Linked DNA regions of Macaca fascicularis. Each later gene encodes a partner of the first gene's protein in a complex. Links are inferred from orthologs where the notes say so. Each region holds a gene or a part of one and is shown on either strand. Other genes may lie near its edges.

Region 1 (4,338 bases):
CAAGGAGAGGTTTCCAGGTCAACTCCGCCTGCAACCAGGAACCAGCATCAGCTTTGTGGGATATTAGAGCATCCTTGTACCCATTCAAAACTCAAAGGCCACTTACGTCTGCCCAACCCACCTTGAATCCAAGCCACTCAAATACCAGTGAGTTGCTAGCTATACTTTATGATTCAAAAAGAAACTCACAGCATTGTGACATGATGGGCAGTTTTCATTTTCTTACCACATTTTCTATACGTTTAAAGTTTCTCTACAGTGAGCATGCACTTGTTTTATAAGAATGTTCCAAATCAGCGGTATTCAAAGTGCGGTCTGGAGAGAGCCCTTCAGGGGTCCAATTAGTCAAAACTATTTTTATTATAATTCCAAGCCATTACTGCCTTTTCCATTCTCACTCTGTCCTGAGGGTGGAATTTTCCAGAGGCTATGTGACATGTGATATGGCAACAGATTTCATGCAGAAATAAACATGAAAATTTGACTGTCTTCTATTAAGAGACATTGAAAGAGATTTGCAGAAATGTAAAACAGTGCAACTCTTCACCCTAAAATTTGGGGAGAAATACTATTGTTTTTCAAATATATATAGTTTATTAATGTATAATGATGTATTATTTCTTAACAAATAGTTTAAAATATTCTCTAGGGCTGGGCACAGTGGCTCACGCCTATAATCCCAGCACTTTGGGAGACCGAGGCAGACAGATTACCTGAGGTCAAGAGTTCAAGACTAGCCTGGCCAACATGGTAAAACCCTGTTTCTACTAAGAATTCAAAAATTAGCCAGGCATGGTGGCGGGCACATGTAATCCCAGCTACTCGGGAGGCTGAGGCAGGAGAACCACTTGAACCTGGGAGGTGGAAGTTGCACTGAGCCAAGATCATGCCACTGCACTCCAGCCTCAGCGAAAGAGTGAGGCTCTGTCTCAAAAAAAAAAAAAAAAAAAAAAAAGGAAGAAAATATTCTCTTAATTTCTAGGACAGCTAAAATTTAGTTAAAATTTGAGAACCGCTGGGTCACGAGGCCAGGAGATCAAGACCATCCTGGCTAACACAGTGAAACCCTGTCTCTACTAAAAATACAAAAAAAAAAAAAAAAAAAAATTAGTTGGGTGTGGTGGCAGGCACCTGTAGTCCCAGCTACTTGGGAGGCTGAGGCAGGAGAATGTCTTGGACTGTAAAGAAATGTAAACAAGGAGATAATGAAAAGCTAGACTGCTAGTATCTTTCTTCAGCTGTGGGCACAGGAGCCCAAGAGGGACACCTAGGCACCTGACATTAGAATTCCTGGGGTGATGCCAGCCTCCCTGTGTGGGCCTCAGGTATGGTAGCCACAGGGCATCCACCCTGACCCACTGATGCTGCACTAGACTGATAAGCTTACATCAGACAGACTGACCCTGTCCACCTGCTCCTGGTTCATAAATCCTTCTCTCTCTCTCTACCCCCACTCCCAGATACTGGTTAAAATCTGCCTTTCCCCCAGCCCCTTACCCTGCCACTGTTCTCCTGAACTGTGCCCCACTTCCACCTTCCCCAGTGGTTCTCACAGCTGGCTAGCTCTGACTCCTAAGGTCCTACGGGCCTTGTGGACAAGAACTCTGTCTACATAACTGGGGTAGGGGAACCACAGACGGGGTGAAGAGGGAAAAGTAAATAATCTGTGCTGACTTTTTCCCAAAATGAAAACATTTTCAGCAGCTGTTTTCCAAATACTTAAGATGTTCAATCTTGGTTGCAGATAAATGTACCACTTTTCTCTGCACTAGGCGCGTTATTGAAAGCCCTATTAAAGGGTGTAACTTACAAGTCCACGGTGTCAAATGCCACCAGCTCTTACTTAAAGCGTGCTGCAGGCTCGGCCCACCTACACCCTGAAGGAACCAAAGTTGGTCCGCGGAACGTGCAGAGGAGCAGCTTGCAACTATCCACTCTCCTTTCCGCAGGTCTGATGCAAACCTCCCCAGGCAGCGCTTAGGAACCCCCTAAGCCCGTCGCCTCAGCTCGGACGAAGCGAGTGAAGCTGCCCTTACTCTCCCACCAAACGTGCACGCCCCGCACCTCACCTATTCGCCTCGCCAGACCTCCCCCCATCAATGCTGGGATCCCCCCGGCAGCCTGCCTATTCCCCCACGCAACCTGGACCCCCAAACGCCGAAGGAAAAGGGTCCCACAAATACGAAGAAAAACCGGAGCCAAAGGGCAGGCGACGGGGAGTGGTGAGAAGGCAACAAGATGCACGAAGAGGGCGAGCACCCAGAGGGAAAATAACCCAGTGCTCCCACAGCAGGGGCCTCTCCTGACCCCATTTTTCTCCTTCCGGAGCGCTCCGCAGAGCACGGACTGGGAAAGCAAGGGCGCCCCAAACCAGAACCCGAGGCACCCTCTAACCCGCGCAACTTGGAATCCCCTCCCGGAAAGCCAACTAAGGAAATCTTTAGGCGCACCTCGTCTCACCACCTCGTTACAGATAGGGAAGTGAGTCCAAGCGCAGAGGGCAGCCGGAGCGGAACGCACAAGCGACCGAGCTGCCTGGAAGGACGCGCGCCCCGCCCGGCCCGCCCCCGACGGGAAGGCCGGTCCACTGCCTGCGTTCCGCCGGCCGCCTGCCTGCTGGGGGGCACTTCGGGGCTCAGGCTCTCCGCCCTGCGGGACCCCGGGTGGCTGCGGCCCAAGTCCGGTTCCCCGCCAGCCTGTCCCCTAGCAATGCCTCCCCGTACCCGAGTCCCGCAGACTTACCCGCAAGCCGCGCGTAGGGCCCAGAAGCAGCAGAGGCAGCAGCAGAGGGAGGATGCGAACCAGGAACCCCGGCATGACCACCAGCCTCCCGGCTCTGCAGTCGGCGCCCAGGCCGGCCGCTCCGCGTCACTTGACTAAGGACCCGCGGCCTGGCACCGCCCCTCGTCCGCCCAGCAGCCAGCCCTCGCGCCTGCTCAGCCCCGCGCTCCGCCCCGCTGTGGCCGAGCCGGGCGGGTGGGGGCGGCTAGGAGGCTGCGCGCGGCCGCGTGACTCCAGGATAGTACTATCTGGGTTTTGCAGGCGTCTTGCCTGGGAGGGGACCCTTTGTAACGGCAATCGGGAGGCCCTGCTTTCAGCAGCTTGATAACGCGCCTCGGAGATTGGACATGAATCATGGTCTCCCTGTTTTCTGGCTTCCTTGAGAGAGCAGAAGAGGGAAATTGTTAATTACTAAACCTAAACGCCCTAGATCAAGTCCGCGTATCATATACGGGCTCTTTGAATAATTCTAAACTAGGGGTTAGCAAAATGTGGTCGGTCCCTGGAGCCACTGTATCAACTCACCTGGAACTTGTTAGAATGAAAATTCTGCTCACGCCTGTAATCCCAGCACTTGGGAGGTCGAGGCGGGCGGATCGCCTGAGGTCAGGAGTTCCAGACCAGCCTGACCAATATGATGAAACCCCATCTCTACTAAAAATACAAAAATTAGCCGGGCGTGGTGGCATGCGCCTGTAATCCCGTCTACTGGGGAGTCTGAGACAGGAGAATCACTTGAACCCAGGAGGCGGAGGTTGTGGTGAGCCCAGATCAAGCCATTGCGCTCCAGCCTGGGCAACAAGAGTGAAATTCCGTCTCAAAAAAAAAGTTAAAAAAATAATAATAATAACCTTAGTTTGTGCCTTGGTGTTCCAAAAAAGCCTTTTACATTGTATAACAAAGTAGCCAAAAATTCTATTTGTTCACTCCTTTCTCCTTTCCTACCGGACATTTCCTTGAGAGATTAAGAAAGTATCAGTCACTGGCTTTTCTTCCTCAGGTTTTTGTTTTTTGGTTTGGGGGTTTTTTTTTGGTTTTGATTTTGTTTTTTTGGGACAGGTTCTCACTCTGCCTCCCAGGCTGGAGTGCAGTGGCGCGAACACGGCTTACTGCAGCTTTGGCCTCCTGGGCTCAAGCAATTCTCCCGTCTCAGCCTACCAAGTGGCTGGAACTACAGGCGCGCACCACCACACCCGGCTAATTTTTGTATTTTTTGTAGAGGCAGGGTCTCACCACGTTACCCAGGCAGGTCTTGAATTTCTGGAATCAAGCAATCTGCCTGCCTGCACCTCCCAAAATGCTGGAATTACAGACATGAGCCTCCGTGCCTGGCTTCTTTTCGTGTCTGGAGTACCAATTCCGTGTGCTTGCACTGTGAAGTCCTTTCCAAGCTCTGCAATTCTAGTTCAGTATTAAAGAACAAGGGCTCTGGTGGCAGTACACTTGAGTTGGAATTCCATCTCTGCCACTTACGATCTGTGTGACTGTGGGCAAATTAACCTCTCTGAGCTTAGTTTCTTTGTTGGTAAAACAGGGATAATAATATCAAATTCACTG
Region 2 (4,322 bases), on another chromosome or scaffold:
CTCCTGAACTCGTGATTCGCCCGTCTCGGCCTCCCAAAGTGCTGGGATTACAGGCTTGAGCCACCGCGCCCGGCCGACCAAGCATGTTTCTAAGAAAAGGGCAAACAATTCTCAAAGAGGCCCCTAATATCTAAAATCAGTTTAGAATCCCTGCCCTAGGTGAATACAGGAAACATTCTCAAAACTAAAAGCGAACTTGTAGGGCATCTTAATCCATCAGCCAAGATGGGTACCAAGGCCCAAAACCAGGTAGAGGCTTGTGCAAGATCACAAGCAGAGGTGTAATTTGAAGCTAGATTCTCCCACTCTTAAACTAGTGCTGGACAGACGGAGGCCTAGCACACTGGTTACGAGCCCTAGCAGATTCCTGTCCCCACATTGCGCCAGGAGGGGTCGCTGCCCAGGGATACCTACAGCCATACTCGAGCTGGACAAGGCGCACGCTCTTGGTGGAAGCAAACACGTCCACCACCGCGTAGAGGGGCTGCGCAGCTGGCAGCCCCCGGGCGCTGGGGCCCATGTCCTCGCCGTTGATGATGATGTGCATGTCGGCCGTGCCATCGGGGCGCGGGCAGAAGAGGACGCCCAGGCGGCTACGGCGCGCCGTCGGAGGCAGCACGTTCAGCTCATAGAGCTGGTCCAAGAGATGGCTGTAGAGCCCTGGCCGACTGCGGCCCACCAGGCGGTCCCGGGGAATGCGAAACTGCTCAATGCGCAGATATGGTTCCACCAGGAGGGTTGGAGGTCGGCTGGGGGCCGCTGCCTCGGCCTCCGGGCGGCCCTCCCGGGGCACGCGGTTGTGGTGGCGCGTGATGGCGAAGACCCAGGTGTGGCCCAGGTTGACTAGGTCGGGCAGAGAAAACTCGGGAACGGGGGCCAGACTGGCGGGGTCCAGCGCCGTCAGACCGAGACGCAGATGTCCGCACCAGCCCAGCTCTTTCTCTTCGATCTCGACCAGGAAGACTTGGCCCGGGGCCAGGGGCTCACGGCTGAAGCACACGCCGTGGGCGAAGCTCTCCACGCGTGTGGCCCGCGTCCCAGAGGGGTCCACGCGGATGTTGTCACCGTGCACCCAATGGAAGCGGGTGGGAGGGGGCTCCGGGCGCGCAGGTCCCCAGAGTGCACCCGAATCCACGGGCTCGGAGGCAGCAGCCATCTCTCCGCCATAAGGCAGGCTGGCGGGCGCCGGGGCTATTTTGGGCGGCGGGCTCAGATGGTGACCGCAAGGGGACCTTGTAAGGCATTTTCCCCCTGCCTCCCTTCCCCGAGCCTCTGCCCGGGGGTCCTAGCGCCGCTTGCTCAGCCATCCCTCCTAGAACTTGGCCATCCACACCCGGATCATCTGATCGCGTGCGCCCGGGCTACGATCCGCGAGGCCCGCGGACCTTGACCTGGCATTGACCGCCACCGCCCCCCAGGCCGGTAGGGACCAAAGAAGGGGCGGGAGGAAGACTGTCACGTGGCGCCGGAGTTCACGTGACTCGGAGTACACATGACTTCCAGTCCCCGGGCGCCTCCTGGAGAGCAAGGACACGGGGGAGCAGAGGTGAGCTGGCACCGGAGGCTGGAGGGGATCCCCGAGCCCGGGATCGGTGCGCGGTAGAGGAAGCTTGAGGGTGGGAGCTGGCGCTGGGGCCGGGGCTTCCCTCGCGGAGGCGCCGCCAGCTCCTACCCGGGTGCTGCTTCACGGAAGCGCTGAGGAGCGAGGCAACAGCCCCTCTTCTGCCTCCCGTAGATGATCCGAGCCGCGCCGCCGCTGCCGTTTCTGCTGCTGCTGCTAGTGTCCTGGGCGCCCCGAGGCGAGGCAGCCCCGGACCAGGACGAGATCCAGCGCCTCCCCGGGCTGGCCAAGCAGCCGTCCTTCCGCCAGTACTCCGGCTACCTCAAAGGCTCCGGCTCCAAGCACCTCCACTACTGGTCTGCCGCCCTGCCTCCCGGGCGGGACTGGGAGGAGAGATGACGGATGAGGGGTGGGGGGTAGTTCTGCAGACCCCTGAGGACGCCTGGGAGCCGGGAGGGCCGGAAAGGACCCCTGCAACTGCACCAACACTGCCCTGACACCCCTTCCCAGGTTTGTGGAGTCCCAGAAGGATCCCGAGAACAGCCCTGTGGTGCTTTGGCTCAATGGGGGTCCCGGCTGCAGCTCCCTAGATGGGCTCCTCACAGAGCATGGCCCCTTCCTGGTGAGTGGACAGCAGGGGTAAAGCACAGTTCCTAAAGAAAAAGGCTGGGGAAAGGGAGAAACGGACTTTGTGATTTACCAGAAAGTTTCCTTCCTTCTAAGTCTTGGGATTTTCCTCTATGCCATTGGCTTTGCTGCTTGTACCTCTCAGGGGTTTTGCCCACACGTAAAGTGCCTCTCACGGTGGCCCTTTCCTTCCACCCAGCTGGCCCTTGGGACTTACTCAGCCATCTCTTTCCTCCTCAGGTCCAGCCAGATGGTGTCACCCTGGAGTACAACCCCTATTCTTGGAATCTGGTATAGCTGGAGCTGTGGGTCCTGTGGGGGTGTCTGGGCACTTGGATGGAGTGGCAGTTGACTAATTTTTCCCTCCCTTCTAGATTGCTAATGTGTTATACCTGGAGTCCCCAGCTGGGGTGGGCTTCTCCTACTCTGATGACAAGTTTTATGCAACTAATGACACTGAGGTGAGTCTGGTGCCTGCCCATCTGCCCCAGGCTCCCCAGTCCTCCATCCATGGCATGATGCTGGGAGAGAGAGCATGGCCTTGGAGTCCACTTTTCGCTCTGTCATATGCTTGTGGTATGGTGGCCAGTCACTTCCTCTTACACAGACAGGGTGGGTTGATGTCATTATCTCTGAAGTTCTTTCCAGTTCAAATACCAAAGCTTCCTGATTCCCTCTGTCTTGCTCCCCCATCCCCAGGTCGCCCAGAGCAATTTTGAGGCCCTTCAAGATTTCTTCCACCTCTTTCCGGAGTATAAGAACAACAAACTTTTCCTGACCGGGGAGAGCTATGCTGGCATCTACATCCCCACCCTGGCCGTGCTGGTCATGCAGGACCCCAGCATGAACCTTCAGGTGCAGGGCAGCTGCAGGAGGGAAGGGAGGCACCTTGAGGCTGTGGCCTTGCAGTTAGCAAGGTCAGACTGGTCAACAGCCCCATCCAACCCAGCTCCCTGCATACCCTCCCCACCACCAGCTGCCCTAGGTCTGTCTAGTGTGCCTCCCACAACAGGAAACTCATCTGTCAGGCTGCCAGCTCTGTGCTTTGCATTGAGTGACTTTCCACACCCAACCGCCCCCATAAACCACCCTGGGTTTCAGCTTCCGGATTGCTGAAGGTCTGGGTGTTAGGGTGAGGGAGGCTCCTCCTCTTCGCCCTCCACATGAGCTGAGCGCCCTGGGTGTTTCACAGGGGCTGGCTGTGGGCAATGGACTCTCCTCCTATGAGCAGAATGACAACTCCCTGGTCTACTTTGCCTACTACCATGGCCTTCTGGGGAACAGGTATGGGATAGGGCAATTGGGCAATCTCTAGGGTCACATGATCTCGAGTCTGTCCTCCAGGCACATGATATGACAGGCCCAGCCCAGGTTTATGAGCAGCAGGTGGGTTGCAGAAAGAACACAGTGCTGAAAGGCCAAAGAATAGAGATCAGATTTTTCTTTTTTTTCTTTTTTTTTTTTGAGACAGAGTCTCACTTTGTCATCCAGGCTAGAGTGCAGTGGCGCGATCTTAGCTCACTGTAACCTCCACCTCCCAGGTTCAAGCAATTCTTGTGCCTCAGCATCCCAAGCAGCTGGGACTACAGGCACGTACCACCACACCTGCTTAATTTTTTTGTATTTTTAGTAGAGATGGCATTTTGCTGTTGGCCAGGCTAGACGCGAACTCCTGGCCTCAAATGATCTGCCCGCCTTGGTTTCCCAAAGTGCTGGGATTACAGGCGTGAGCGACGGCGCCCAGCCAGAGATCAGATTTTTTTTTTTTTTTTTTTGAGACGGAGTCATGCTCTGTCGCCCAGGCTGGAGTGCAGTGGCCAGATCTCAGCTCACTGCAAGCTCCGCCTCCCGGGTACACGCCATTCTCCTGCCTCAGCCTCCCAAGTAGCTGGGACTACAGGCGCCCGCCACTTCGCCCGGCTAGTTTTTTGTATTTTTTAGTAGAGACAGGGTTTCACCGTGTTAGCCAGGATGGTCTCGATCTCCTGACCTCATGATCCGCCCGTCTCGGCCTCCCAAAGTGCTGGGATTACAGGCTTGAGCCACCGCGCCCGGCCAGAGATCAGATTTTAAAGGAACTAAGGAGGCCTGTCTGTATGACCCTGGGGCACCTCTTTGGGAGCTAGCTTAGGTG

What was found.
Region 2: the proteins of GLB1 (region 1) and CTSA are in contact, whole or in part, in a cryo-EM structure (PDB 7KDV), measured with the Mus musculus proteins. The link is inferred for Macaca fascicularis from reciprocal best matches to the Homo sapiens genes GLB1 and CTSA. Residues at the interface, in NP_033882.1 of Mus musculus: Tyr198, Asp199, Arg202, His206, Leu229, Thr233, Leu234, Gln235, Asp236, Leu237, Lys258, Phe259, Glu260; in NP_001033581.1 of Mus musculus: Glu29, Asp31, Ala37, Lys38, Gln39, Pro40, Ser41, Phe42, Arg43, Tyr107.

What each region holds. Positions count from the first base shown.
Region 1 is NC_088376.1:15,300,587-15,304,924, reverse strand, and holds the start of GLB1 (beta-galactosidase), read right to left. Parts: upstream 2,879-4,338; 5' UTR 2,818-2,878; coding exon 2,743-2,817; intron 2,555-2,742; exon of another isoform or gene 2,451-2,554; intron 29-2,450; exon of another isoform or gene 1-28.
Region 2 is NC_088384.1:101,929,305-101,933,626, forward strand, and holds the start of CTSA (lysosomal protective protein), read left to right. Parts: upstream 1-1,501; 5' UTR 1,502-1,592; intron 1,593-1,735; coding exon 1,736-1,917; intron 1,918-2,071; coding exon 2,072-2,183; intron 2,184-2,428; coding exon 2,429-2,479; intron 2,480-2,562; coding exon 2,563-2,649; intron 2,650-2,887; coding exon 2,888-3,043; intron 3,044-3,380; coding exon 3,381-3,472; intron 3,473-4,322. Other genes in the region: NEURL2 (neuralized-like protein 2), read right to left, coding at 415-1,156. UniProt on the Homo sapiens protein: Protective protein appears to be essential for both the activity of beta-galactosidase and neuraminidase, it associates with these enzymes and exerts a protective function necessary for their stability and activity.